Saccharomyces cerevisiae S288C: one gene and its partners. Changing the gene in region 3 together with the main gene of any one other region gives a genetic interaction. Each region holds a gene or a part of one and is shown on either strand. Other genes may lie near its edges.

The links. A genetic interaction does not mean that the proteins touch.
Region 1: mutations in REE1 (region 3) and IDP3 together harm fitness more than expected from each alone (negative genetic interaction), as found in Saccharomyces cerevisiae (2 studies listed by BioGRID).
Region 2: mutations in REE1 (region 3) and CBT1 together harm fitness more than expected from each alone (negative genetic interaction), as found in Saccharomyces cerevisiae (2 studies listed by BioGRID).

The regions. Positions count from the first base shown.
Region 1 is NC_001146.8:612,111-616,583, reverse strand, and holds IDP3 (isocitrate dehydrogenase (NADP(+)) IDP3), read right to left. Parts: upstream 1,764-4,473; coding exon 501-1,763; downstream 1-500. Other genes in the region: putative ubiquitin-protein ligase ASI3, read left to right, coding at 1-373; PYP1 (putative phosphoric monoester hydrolase), read right to left, coding at 2,224-2,949; YNL011C (uncharacterized protein), read left to right, coding at 3,414-4,473. UniProt on the Saccharomyces cerevisiae protein: May function in the production of NADPH for fatty acid and sterol synthesis.
Region 2 is NC_001143.9:44,468-48,472, forward strand, and holds CBT1 (Cbt1p), read left to right. Parts: upstream 1-2,689; coding exon 2,690-3,505; downstream 3,506-4,005. Other genes in the region: ATP-binding cassette a-factor transporter STE6, read right to left, coding at 1-1,828; ER membrane complex subunit EMC3, read left to right, coding at 3,727-4,005. UniProt on the Saccharomyces cerevisiae protein: Involved in 5'-end processing of mitochondrial COB, 15S rRNA, and RPM1 transcript. May also have a role in 3'-end processing of the COB pre-mRNA.
Region 3 is NC_001142.9:20,638-25,056, reverse strand, and holds REE1 (Ree1p), read right to left. Parts: upstream 1,925-4,419; coding exon 1,328-1,924; downstream 1-1,327. Other genes in the region: oligo-1,6-glucosidase IMA5, read left to right, coding at 1-716; YJL218W (acetyltransferase), read right to left, coding at 2,494-3,084; hexose transporter HXT9, read right to left, coding at 3,857-4,419. UniProt on the Saccharomyces cerevisiae protein: Functions in the galactose metabolic pathway via the GAL83 protein and that it may control the level of ENO1.

The DNA.
Region 1 (4,473 bases), on a different chromosome or scaffold from region 3:
TAATAAGGTTAATGGACCGTTGACTAGATCACAATATGGTAAAAGAAACCCACAAGGTGTACTAGTCGATGTTGTTATTGAACGCCTTCTGCATCATACAAACTCCAGGTATATGTACAAACGTTTAAATATGAAGGACGATGACAAATTAGAGTTCAAGTTTGATTTTGCCTTTGATAGTTGCGACGAAGTGGAGGAAATGGATCTCTCCTGCCTAATCTGCAAAGTTAATAAAAGAAATATTGTAACTTGGCCCTGTAGATGCCTTGCATTATGCGATGATTGTAGGATATCTCTGGGTTATAAAGGATTTGCTACATGCGTCAGCTGTGATAGTGAGGTGAAGGGTTACAGTAAGTTGAATATAGTCTAGAATTATTTTATTAGGTATACGTATTTAAGACATCATAGGAATTTTTTTTTTTGGATATGTTCAACCTCAAGTCTGAACACTATAACCCTAGGCCAGACTTGTCTTTTCAAATGAATGGCGGATTGGTTTATAGTTTGCACATACCTTTCTTGTCTTCATTGGAGCTGAGCATCATGTTTTGAAGCCTCTTGGCAACTTCATCAATAAACTCTTCTGTGGTTACATATGATGATCTATTAGTCTTTCCAAGCATCAATGCTAAATCCTTGGTCATTTTTCCGCCCACTTGAACTGTGTCCAAAGTAGCCTTTTCTAGTAAGTTTCCAAATTTTATAACATCATCTGTATTGTCTAATTTTCCTCTTTGTATAATTGCCCTTGTCCAGGCAAATATTGAGGCTATTGAATTTGTTGATGTTTCTTCGCCTCTTTGATGTTTTCTAAAATGTCTGGTCACCGTACCATGGGCAGCCTCGCTTTCAAACGTTTTACCATCAGGTGTAATCAATATGGACGTCATTAAACCAAGAGACCCAAATCCTTGTGCCACAATGTCAGACTGGACATCGCCATCATAATTCTTCATGGCGATTATAAACCCGCCCTTTGATTTTAGCATCTGTGCTACCATATCATCAATCAAACGATGCTCGTACGTTATTTTTAAAGCCTGAAACTTTTCCTTATATTCTTTATCGAACAAATTATCGAAAATTTGTTTGAACTGATTATCATAATTTTTCAGAATAGTGTTTTTGGTTGTAAAGAATAACGGTAGTTTTCTTTTGAGAGCTAATTCGAAGGATGCCTTTGCGAACCCTTTAATGGAATCATTTGTATTAAACATTGCCATTGCGATCCCACCACTTTTAGGAAATTCATAAACCTTTAAATCGATGTTTTCTTTACCGTCATCTGAGCTAAACTGTAACCTTAGTTTGCCTGCTTTTTTAATCTTGATGTCAGTAGCCCTATATTGGTCACCAAAAGCATGACGGCCTATAATTATAGGTTTCTCCCAGTGAGGGACTAGACGAGGTATTTTTGGAATAATGATGGGTTCTCTAAATACAGTTCCACCTAGGATGTTTCTGATTGTTCCATTTGGAGATTTCCACATTTCTTTAAGGTTAAATTCTTTCATTCTTGCCTCATCGGGTGTTATAGTGGCACATTTGACAGCAACCCCATATTTTAGGGTAGCATAAGAAGAATCCTTTGTTACTTGATCATTAGTCCTATCACGCTCTTGGATTGAAAGGTCATAGTATTTTAAATCCACATCTAAATATGGCAATATCAATTTTTCTTTGATAAGTTTCCAAATAACTCTTGTCTGCTCATCACCGTCCATTTCCACGATGGGATGAACAACTTTAATTTTACTCATTTTAACTTGGACAACTATCTCTAAAGTGTTGCTTGTGTTTACTGCAGGTATGTGCAGGAGAAAGCTTATAAGGGGAACACTCTTATATACGAAGATGCAAAATTGGGGTAATTAATGTAAATTTAAGAATGACAAGAAGAGTTGACTAGTACACGCAACGAAATACTAATCACATTTTACTTTTCCCCTAAAAGAGAGCTCCTGCTTTTCTCTTTACTGTCCCTTTTGGTATGTTTGATTGATTTCTAATTAGTATACTTGAAATATCATTCGTTTTGTATTAAAGATTCGGCATTAAGCATGCTAAATCCGAGGAGGATCTTCCTTTATTTTTTGATGTTCTTTCTCTCAGACAATAAAAAAGATATACAAGAAAAATATAGTACGTACGTATATATGCATACATATGTAAGAGGCAGTTACACGGTATTAAACTTTAATATTTCGTAAGAGTCTTGCACTAATTTTCCATCAATTCAGCGACTGTCTTTTCACCAGCCAGAACTTGTTTCATGCTAGCCAAGATGTCTTTGAAGGTATCGAATTCATGGAATGGGACGTTTTGTTTTTTACAATAAGTGACCAAATCTTTACCTCTTTTGGCAAATAGCAAATCACATTCTTTTGCAGCACTTAGATCAGAAACACCGTCACCACAGTAAAAGTAAACGGGTCTTTGTTCACCTGCTTTCAAGGTAGATTCAAATTTCTTTTTATAAGCATCGATACTTCTGGATTTGTCATGTCCGAAGGGACTTTCATCCTTATAGATGATTTTCCATTGATCATGTGCATCGATTTCCACTTCATTGGAAACAATGTCAATTTTGTGAATAGACTCTTGTCCAACTAATCTGGTCAATAAAACCTTGATAATTGGTTTCATTCCGCTGGAAACAACGATGACAGGGACATCATTTTCTTGAGCCCATTCGAATGTATCCTTGAAACCAGGATCCAATCGAATTTTCTTTTCTAAGATCTTGATACACTCAGGGAAAGGGGTGTGGATGGATTCCAGCATTTCCATGAAACCTTGCCTAAAAGACTTAGTATCATCTAACACGCCTTCGAAGACCTTTAATCTTTTTTCCTTACCGAAACCTAAAGTATCGGTCAGATAATCGTTAGAATCTTCCAAAGTAACGGTACCGTCGAAATCGGTAAAAATAACAGCTTTGACCATTTCCCTTGTATATATATAAATGCTATGTCACTCCAGCTTATGTTATGTGAGCAAGTTTCAAGAATGTGTGCGTTCTGTTGAGATAAACAATAGAGGACACTGTATTTTTTTAATTTAAGATGATGAAAAATTATGCGATAATTTTCGAAAATTTCGCTCATTTTAGAAAAAGAGATTTGAACAGGGTACCATAGTAGAACGATAAAAGAATATGTCGTACAATGTGTTGGGTTGTTGATATCCAATAAAGAGTTTTTTTCAGCGTGTAATGCTTAGATATTATGTGGAAAGTTACTACTGTTGTATTAACCTGTTTCGTATTTCCTAAAGAACGCTAATGTGTGATGTTTGGGTTTATTTCTTAAGCTATTTAGGCGGACTATGAAAGAGAGGAAACGGAATCTTTTGTTCCCTCGAGGTAATAAGGGGACAAAATAGCAGAGTGTGGTGAGATAGTTTACTAGATGAACGTCGTTGTGTGCTCCGGTGGGACTGCCACAAATTCATTGACTCCTTGCTTTTCTAATATTTCTATCTTAAAAGGACATGAGCTGACGTATATATTGCCAATATCAGATAATGGCGGGTCCACAAGTGAAATTCTACGAATAGTTGGTGGCCCAGCAATTGGTGATATCAGATCTAGAATAGTGAGACTACTTCAAGATGAACAGCTTGTCGAGTTGTTTGGCCATAGGCTACCTAATGATAAGTTATTAGCTAAGAAAGAATGGAATGAAATAGTGGAAGGTTCGCATCCCATATGGAAAAATATTTCGATAGAAGTTAAGGAAATGTGTCGTTCTTTTATTATCCATATGCAAGCAGAACTCTTGAAAAAAATCAAACACTCGAATCCATTTCAGTTTGAGAGTGCATCCATTGGAAATTTTTTCTTAACTGGTGCTAGATTGTTTTTAGGTTCTCTAGACGCATCTATTGAACTAATGATGAGGATAGGAAGGTGCAGTCCTCTAGTTCATGTTATTCCATGTATAAATACCAATCACACACATCATATCTCGGCTTTGTTGACGAATGGTGAGATGATAACTGGCCAATCACAAATATCGCATCCCTCGAAATCTGTTCCTAAAGATAATAGCATAGCACATTCAGCTAAATTTATTCATTTACTTGGCTCTTATGACGACCATTTGAAAATTCTCCTCGACGATGAGGAAGAAGAAGCGGAAGAGGAGTATGCCAATCCTATCTATATTCTTCCAGAACTGAAAAACTCCCAGTTGCATTTTGACAAGCTTGATGAATCACAGAATCTACCTGCTCCGGTACATAGGATATTGTATATAAACCCATATGGCGAAGAGATAAAACCAATGGGAAATCCAAGAGCTATTTCCAAGGTGAAAAAAGCTGACATGGTCGTTTATTCTATCGGTTCTTTAATGACAAGTTTACTCCCAATCCTTATTCTTGGTAATCTTGCTGAAGTAATTTTGGAATCTAATAATACGAAAAAAGTTTTGCTCATAAATAATAAATATGATAGAGAGGTTTTTG
Region 2 (4,005 bases), on a different chromosome or scaffold from region 3:
CAGAGTAGTCATTCTGTAGGTGATACCATGTGCTAAATGTAGTGGTCGGATCGGCTAGAAGTTCAGACTGGGTGCCGCTTTCAACAACTTCACCTTCCTTCATTAAATATAAATAGTCATCAGATTCAATTTGGCTCAACTCATGCGTCAATATGATTGTAGTCTTTCCTTTCCTCCAATGCCTAATTGCCTTCATCAACAGGTTGCGATGAACAATATCTAGAGCCGATACAGCTTCGTCTAAGAATAATATTGGAGTATCTCTGATGAATGCACGTGCTATAGCAACTCTTTGTTGTTGCCCGCCACTTAGTGTGACACCCCCAGTCCCAATTAATGTTTCCAGTCCATCGGGAAGGTCTAGAATAAATCTATCCAGAAGAGCCATTTGACAGGCATCTTTGATTAAATGTCTATTTTCATTGGTGCTGCAATCGGCATTTCTTACCGAATCTGTTGAACCTAAAAGAATATTTTTTCTAAGAGTATCATTAAATAGGGTACAACGCTGTTCTACGACGGTGATATTTTCAATTAGCAATTTTTGGTCGATTGTTTGGATATTGTGGCCATTGATAGATATCGATCCATTATAGCCATCGTAGAACCTTAATAATAAGTTGGATAATGTAGATTTACCTGAGCCTGATTTTCCTACTATGAAAGTAAATTGTCCTGCAGAGAAATTTAAACTAACGTTCTTTAAAACTGCTTCCGAAGGTCTGCTTGGATAAGAAAACGAAACATTAGCAAATGTTAGATCACTGGTGGCATAATCTAGTGGAAATTGGTGGGCTACAGTTTTATTTAAAGGATTTCGCTTGGATCCATCTTTTAATAGAGTCATGATTTTTTCCATAGCCACTCCGCCTTTTTGAAGAACAACTATTTGGTGTAATGTATTATTTAAAGTCGAGCCCAGCATAATGCATGAATGGAAGCAAGTGATTACATCGTTAATGTTCAGCTTGCCCTTTTTGATCATTGCGGAACCAAACCAGAATCCCTGTACAAACATAGTCAACGTCAAAAATCTCAAGATCCCAGCGTTTGCAGCAACAAAAAAGCAACTCTTGATGAAGAAAGTGTTACAATTTAGTATGATTTCCTTGAATTTTTTCCTTTCTAGACGTTGTGTACAATATAATCTCACTAATTGAGCGGCATTCATCGACCATGTAAGTAATTGGGCTGCTTTACTCGTTTCAGAATTCTCCTTCTCTGAATATACATGAATCATTCTGGAAAACACCACTGCAAAAAATGTGATTATTGGAGAGCTGCAAAGAATAATTAAAGTTAATGACCAAGAATAGTAGAATGACGTCCCCAGAAGCGCACATATTGCAACTAAATTCTGGAAAGTTATGGCTGATGCCTCTGCGGAGCTTGATCTTAGCTCTTCCACACATCTGTTGATTTGAGTAAAATCTCCTAACAATTTTTCATTATTGTCGTACCATTCCATTGGCTTTTCCTCCAAATATGCCTCCAATATCTGTGACCGTATTCTAAAGCCTTGTCTCTCGCCGATGTGCATCCAACTTGTTAGAGAAAGCCACATTACTGGCACAGAAGCCGCACCAAGTGCCATTACTGCCATTGACCTCTGTACTAGTTGGGAATACAAACCTTGATGTGACCCATTAGCCACGAAAACTGATAGTAGATCGAACACTCTGCCCGTCAGGATAGAAGTAATTGCCGGCACTAGGCCTGTTGCCACGGTACCTATTATCATTATCATTAACAGCCTGTAGTCATTCCGTATGTTCACGTACCTGAAAATGTGATAGTGTTTTGTAGTCTTAAAACTTAAAAAGTTCATGACGTAGCTTGTTCTTTGTTTCCTAGTGGAATTTTCAGCGGCACTTGAAAGCTCTCTGTGTGAACGTAACAACGGGAGATAGTTCAGCCATATCCAGGTTTATAAGCTCTGGTATTTAAATGATGAACGGCAATAATGCAACAGTTTTCATATCTGAAACAATTGTATATGTGCGAAGCAGCGTGTAAATTTCCCTATTAGGTAATTACATGGCAAAAAAAATAAGAAACTATTTTCTTAAAGTACCTTTACCCTTTGTGGAAAACAATAAATTGTATAGTGGCAGAATAGAGAAAAGAAAAAGGAAAGGAACATATTTGTCAGTGCAAGGACCATCATTGTTTGAAAAAAGAGAGGATATTACTAGTAGGTAATAACAGCTATGTCGCGTTATATATATTATATATAAAAATTAAAAAATAGAAAATAAAATTTCAAATGCCCTCTGTGGGAATTGAACCCACGATCCCCGCATTACGAGTGCGATGCCTTACCACTTGGCCAAAAGGGCTGAGTAATTTTTATACCTGCTAAATTTGTGGCTCCGCTATACTTTACAGATTTATCTATTTTGAAGATGATACATTTAGCAAAAATGACCTTAAAAATGAAGCAGGTGCCATTTGCCTATAGCTTGGAAAAGTAGTAATGGTTATTCAAAAAGTTAGCAGCGAGATCTTTTTTCTATCGCGCGTTAAAACGTTTGAACAGATATATATTATTCAGCCACAACTATCTATATATAATATTTCTTCGATTTTTCGTTTTCTCAAGTTTCGTCTTATTGATTGATCAGAAGTTTACTGCGCTTTTGGGTAAAGAAGCATTAAACAAAGGAGAGAGAAATATTGCAAGGAAAAAATGGTGAGCTATGGAAGTCATAGTAGTGAGGTTTCGAAAGTTCTTAAAACGCCGAAGTTTGTGCTTAGGTATGGAAATGTATCCAGCAAACAACGTTTTGCCCTAAAGCGGAAGATAAATTACAAACTACGTGAAAGCAAATATCAAGAATACTTGAATGAATACAACACCTTCGTGCTTTACGACTGGGAAAACAGTGGCGCTGGTAGTCTTGTCGATTCTTCCTACAATCTCCCCTCTTTATGGAAGGAATTCATAACAGAGGGCATATCTAAAGGAGCAATAAACGACAAACTACCGACAGTCTTTATGAAGAGGAAGTTGACAAACTCAGCGTTGGGTCACTGTTTGGGACTTGATTTCCTGACTGATCCGAGCGAGTCAGAACATGAATACAGGTGCATGTTTCAGACAGTTCAGGACATCCCATCTCTCTCGCAACTGATCTTATTCAACAGCATGCCAAACGTTCCAGTAAGATTGAAATTGCATACCATTGGTATAAATATAAATTTCGGCTGCAAACGTTCCCTGATAAGCAACGGTGGTGATCAAGACACTGAAATGAGCGAAGCAGTCTCTTATATCCAGCCTTTATTGGAAGAATCCTCGAGAATGTACCGCAATTTAAACTACTGGAAGCTGTTAAAAATAGCACGAAATAACAAGAAGGATGAACCGTTGGATCAGAGCACGCGTATCAAGTCGCAAGTTAAGCTTTTACTGAGTCAATTGGCGACGAACCGAATTACCTCACCTTCCGTCACGGATCATGGGGGTCACAACTGGCTCATATTCACCAGAAGACGGTTGTAAACGATAAATATGCCATAAAGATCTGCGAACTGTACATATCCATATATAATGCGTATTATTTGGTGACTATAGCACTGGCTTCCGCCATCTCACTAAGAACGAAGAGGTATAATAAAGCATTGTGATGTTAAAGAATGACGATTAACCAGCATTTACAACAACTTCTCTTCAACAGAATAGACAAAACAACAAGCAGTATTCAACAAGCTAGGGCGCCGCAGATGTTATTAGATGACCAGCTGAAGTATTGGGTCCTGTTACCTATTTCGATTGTCATGGTTTTGACGGGTGTACTCAAACAGTACATCATGACACTTATAACGGGAAGCAGTGCAAATGAAGCACAACCAAGGGTAAAGTTAACTGAATGGCAATATCTACAATGGGCACAATTATTGATTGGAAACGGTGGGAACCTGTCTTCCGATGCATTTGCTGCGAAGAAGGAATTTCTAGTTAAGGATCTCACTGAGGAAAGGCACCTAGCCAAGGCCAAGCAG
Region 3 (4,419 bases):
AGAATCATGATCAACCTCGTAGCGTTTCGCGTTTTGGCTCAGATTCTCCTAAATGGCGTGAGATTTCGTCCAAGATGTTGGCTACTCTCATCATTTCATTGACTGGTACTGTTTTTATCTACCAAGGACAAGAATTGGGTATGCCCAACTTCAAAAACAGAAAAATTGAGCAAATCAAATGCGTTGAAGGTACTGGTACATATGCCGCCATTAAACGTGATTATGGTGAAGATTCTGAAAAGATGAAAAAGTTTTTTGAAGCATTAGCTTTGATCTCTAGAGATCATGGGAGAACACCATTCCCATGGAGTGCTGATGAGCCTTCTGCAGGTTTCTCGAAGGATGCCAAACCATGGATTGACATGAATGAATCATTTAGAGACGGAATCAACGCAGAAGCTGAGTTAAAAGATAAAAACTCAGTCTTCTTTTTCTGGAAAAAGGCCTTACAAGTTAGAAAGGAGCACAAAGATATCCTTGTTTATGGACATAACTTTCAGTTCATTGATCTTGATAATGACAAGCTATTCATGTTTACAAAGGACACAGATAACAAAAAAATGTTTGCTGTTTTCAATTTCAGTAGCGATAATACGGACTTTTCAGTTCCTGATAATGAGGCCTCCTACACCATGTTTTTTGGCAACTATGCAAACTCAAATGGTGATTCCCGCACCTTGCAGCCATGGGAAGGAAGACTTTACTTGTTGAAGTAACGAGCACATTTAACATAAACGTACTGATCTTTCGAAACAAATAGTTATGCCGATATTTATGAATAATAAACTTGTATATTTCTTTTTACTTTTGCTTTTCATATGTGAGCATTGGATACTTAACTTACGCTGTACGCTATTTTCAATTGCAATTTATATATGTATATAGAAGACAGAAAATTCACTGAACCTTTTTCCGAAGAAATATAAAATAAAAAGCAACGTACAGCAGAAAAATAGAAAACATCATTATTACTGTTTCTATTGTCTAAATTTAGCCCTTTAAACCCCATCATCATAAGTACTAATTACCACGAATTCAATAATTAGTAAATACATTCGACTATTCTCACCCTAACTTTCGTCACTTTATCTTAAAACACTAGCTAAAAGTCGTTTATTATAACAAAACTAAAAATTTCGTAGTATGCACGCCTTATTGCCCAGTATTTTGTTAACTGTATGGATTGTACTAGTAAAAAAAATCTTGACGAAATTGAGTATAAACAAAATTTTAAAAAGCATAGTGCCAAATCAACAGATCTTAGTGAGGTGCAGGCCTTGTTCTTAACAAAAGCAAACCCCTCTTTATATATTGATATATAGGTGAACTAACTCAAATCATGTAAAGCTTTTCCTAAAGGAGCTGTGAGACTCCATTCCGAGAAAGTAACTTTCAATCCGCCACGCTCAGGTGTGCAAGCCATTGGTCCAACAAGGTAATGGTCAGAAGTTGGAAATGGAGCCAAACGTACTAACGGCCATGTTTTTTTATCAGAGGACACCTGAATCCTCAAAACGCCCTTTTCAACAGTAACACGAAGCCAGAAATCGCGAGCATTTCCGCCATAAACAGCAGTTGACCAATCTGATTTTCCATTTGTCAAAACACTGCTTAGCATTGCGTGGCCATCAGAAATTTCTATGCCAGCTTTGAGCCAATGTCCATCATCTATACGAACCATGATACCAGCCTGATCATAAAGACTCTCGTAGCTTCCCTGAACACGGACTTGTGCAGTAAAAGCACTACCTGTCTCTACTCCCAAAAAATGACCGCTATCACGGGTAAATCCGTAAAATGTTTCACGCCAAAAGTCAGTTTTTTCATCTGTTTCCAGAGTGACTTTTCCTGCCTCTTGAAAAACAGATTTTGGCTTATTGAGCCATGTTCCTTGCGATAATTCAGTATTCTTAGATTCGACCATTGTGTTTGGTAATTTATCTTGTTTGATGGAGAAGCCGTCACTTGGACTTTTGTTAATATTAGGTCAGGTTAAATACCTAGGAAATCTGTGCGTATAGGATCATCCCTTTCTAACTCCATCGAAAATGTTACTTGTTTTGTTCGAGGCTATTTGATGACCCTTTCATATGGACGCATGCAGGTGGCCATATTTTCAGTTTAAAGTTTCTCCGCATGTTAATTTGCGCTGAAAAATTAGAACGGTACTTATTTCCCCGAAAATTTCTCAAATCCGAACATAAAGCTACCAGCCACGCGTTTTCTATACGGTTGGAACTTGAGCAGTTTTACATAAGTTGTAAACTATAATTTTCTCCTCGAAGATAGATTATACCAGAAAGAAGCTACTATACACAGTCGAGTTGAGAATGAGCAACTTAAACCAGAACATATACCAATAATTAATAATCTCTCTGCGTATTTAGTCGACTAAAACTGAACTAGCTTTTTATTTATTCTTATAAGAAAATACGGTACATAATCATAGAAGACAACACTTGCTTTCGATAATTCCTCCAGAAAGTGGATCCATCATTTTCGATAGTTTGTAGTTGTACTATCTTTTTCAGTGATCTTTCTTATCACCTTACAAGGATTACCTGCTGCCACTACATTTTCTGGTATGTCACGAATCACAACACTACCGGCGGCAATCACGGAGTTTTTACCTATATTTACTCCAGGAATTATTGACACTCCACCTCCAATCCATACATTGTCTCCAATGGTCACAGGCATGGCATATTCTAATCCTTGAAGCCGTCTTTCCACGTCAATTGGATGACCTGCCGTATAAATACCAACATTAGGGGCGATAAATACGTTGTCACCGATGACTACCTTGGCCCCATCCAATATAACAAGATTGTGATTGGCGTAAAAGTTGTCTCCGATATAGATGTTACTTCCGTAATCACAGTAAAACGGCGGTTCAATTATAAAGTTATCAGTGCAACTACCAAGTAATTCTCTTATTACCTGGCTCTTTTTATTCTCATCAGCGGGGCTAAGGGTGTTGTATTCGTGCAATTTTATTTTAGTCTCTTTTCTAATTTTCAAAAGATCTGGATCATAGTTCGCATCATAAAGCTCACCAGGTACTATATTTTCTAATACGCCCATTTTTCTCTAGAAGCCTTGTTTATATGCTTATTAGAATGCTTCTCTATGTTCTTGTTGTAGTACGTGAGATCTCACTCTTTATACTTGCGTCTTTTCGAAGTAATGCTAAATAGTGCCTGGCCCAGCGTCACAGGGTGTTTAACGAGCGCGTACTATTTGTGAATTTTTTTGGGCACATTGAAAACTTTAATTTTTTAAGTTATTCAGGCACGGCACACTATGACAGGAGGTTACGTCGGAGAAATAGCGTTATGGCCGATTGTGAGAACATTTAAGAAATTTCAATCCATAACAATAAAGTGGCAGTGTCACCTAAAATATTAGTACCAACTTGCCCAATTGGCAGAAGGAAAATAAGGATATCAGGCCACCGACTTGGTACTATTTTTTTATGGTAAATGTGTACTTTTACTAAGCTTAATTTGAAACAGACGTCATATGAATGTTTCTGGGGCTACTTGTTACAATTCTCGGTCCGCAACAACTGAACTCTGTACTGTTCTGTCTCAATGCTTGGTTTCTTGAATGGAATTTCACTCCACCCTTCGGAACGTTACAAAATTTATACATTTTAAAAATTATTCATGAGAGAAAGATGCTATAGTAATCTGTTCACCCTGTCAACTCGTGTAGCTCATGTTTATCATATAATTTCTAGTTCTATAAGGCATAACAAATAGTCCGTTAAGGATTAAGGCGTAAAAAAGTAAATATTGTATATAATAAATAATTAAGTTCATGTATTTTTTTCCAGTTACTAAAAACCGGAAGATTAGCTGGAAAAGAACCTCTTGTAGATTGGTCTATCGTCATGGTCTATGGCGTCAGCATCGTAATCTGCGGTTCTTCTTTCTGGTGGCACCCATGAGGCTGATTTCCATGCTGGCACACCTTCCAGCCACATAGTATTCACCTCCTCCAGCGTCAGGCCTTTTGTTTCTGGGACAAAGAAAAAGACATAAAAGTATGCAAAAACCAGACAGCCTAAGAATACATAACCGTAGTAAAAGTTGATTGCCCCGGTAATGAATGGGGTAAAGAAACTAATCAGGAAACCCCACATCCAGTTTGCAGCTGTTGCGATTGCCATTCCTCTTGATTTGACCCTAAGAGGAAACGTCTCTGAGACAATAACGTAACAGCCGCCTGCCCAAGTGGTGGCGAACGAAAAAATGAAGAACATAGTAAACACAATCATACAGTTACCGGCGCCCTGAGAAGTAATGTCTTGGTGACTGCTTCCTTGAGGCCACAACTTTGTCACACCGACGGAGGCAAACACAGCAAAGCAGCATAGCATAGAAGCAGCACCCCACAATAGACACGTACGGCGTC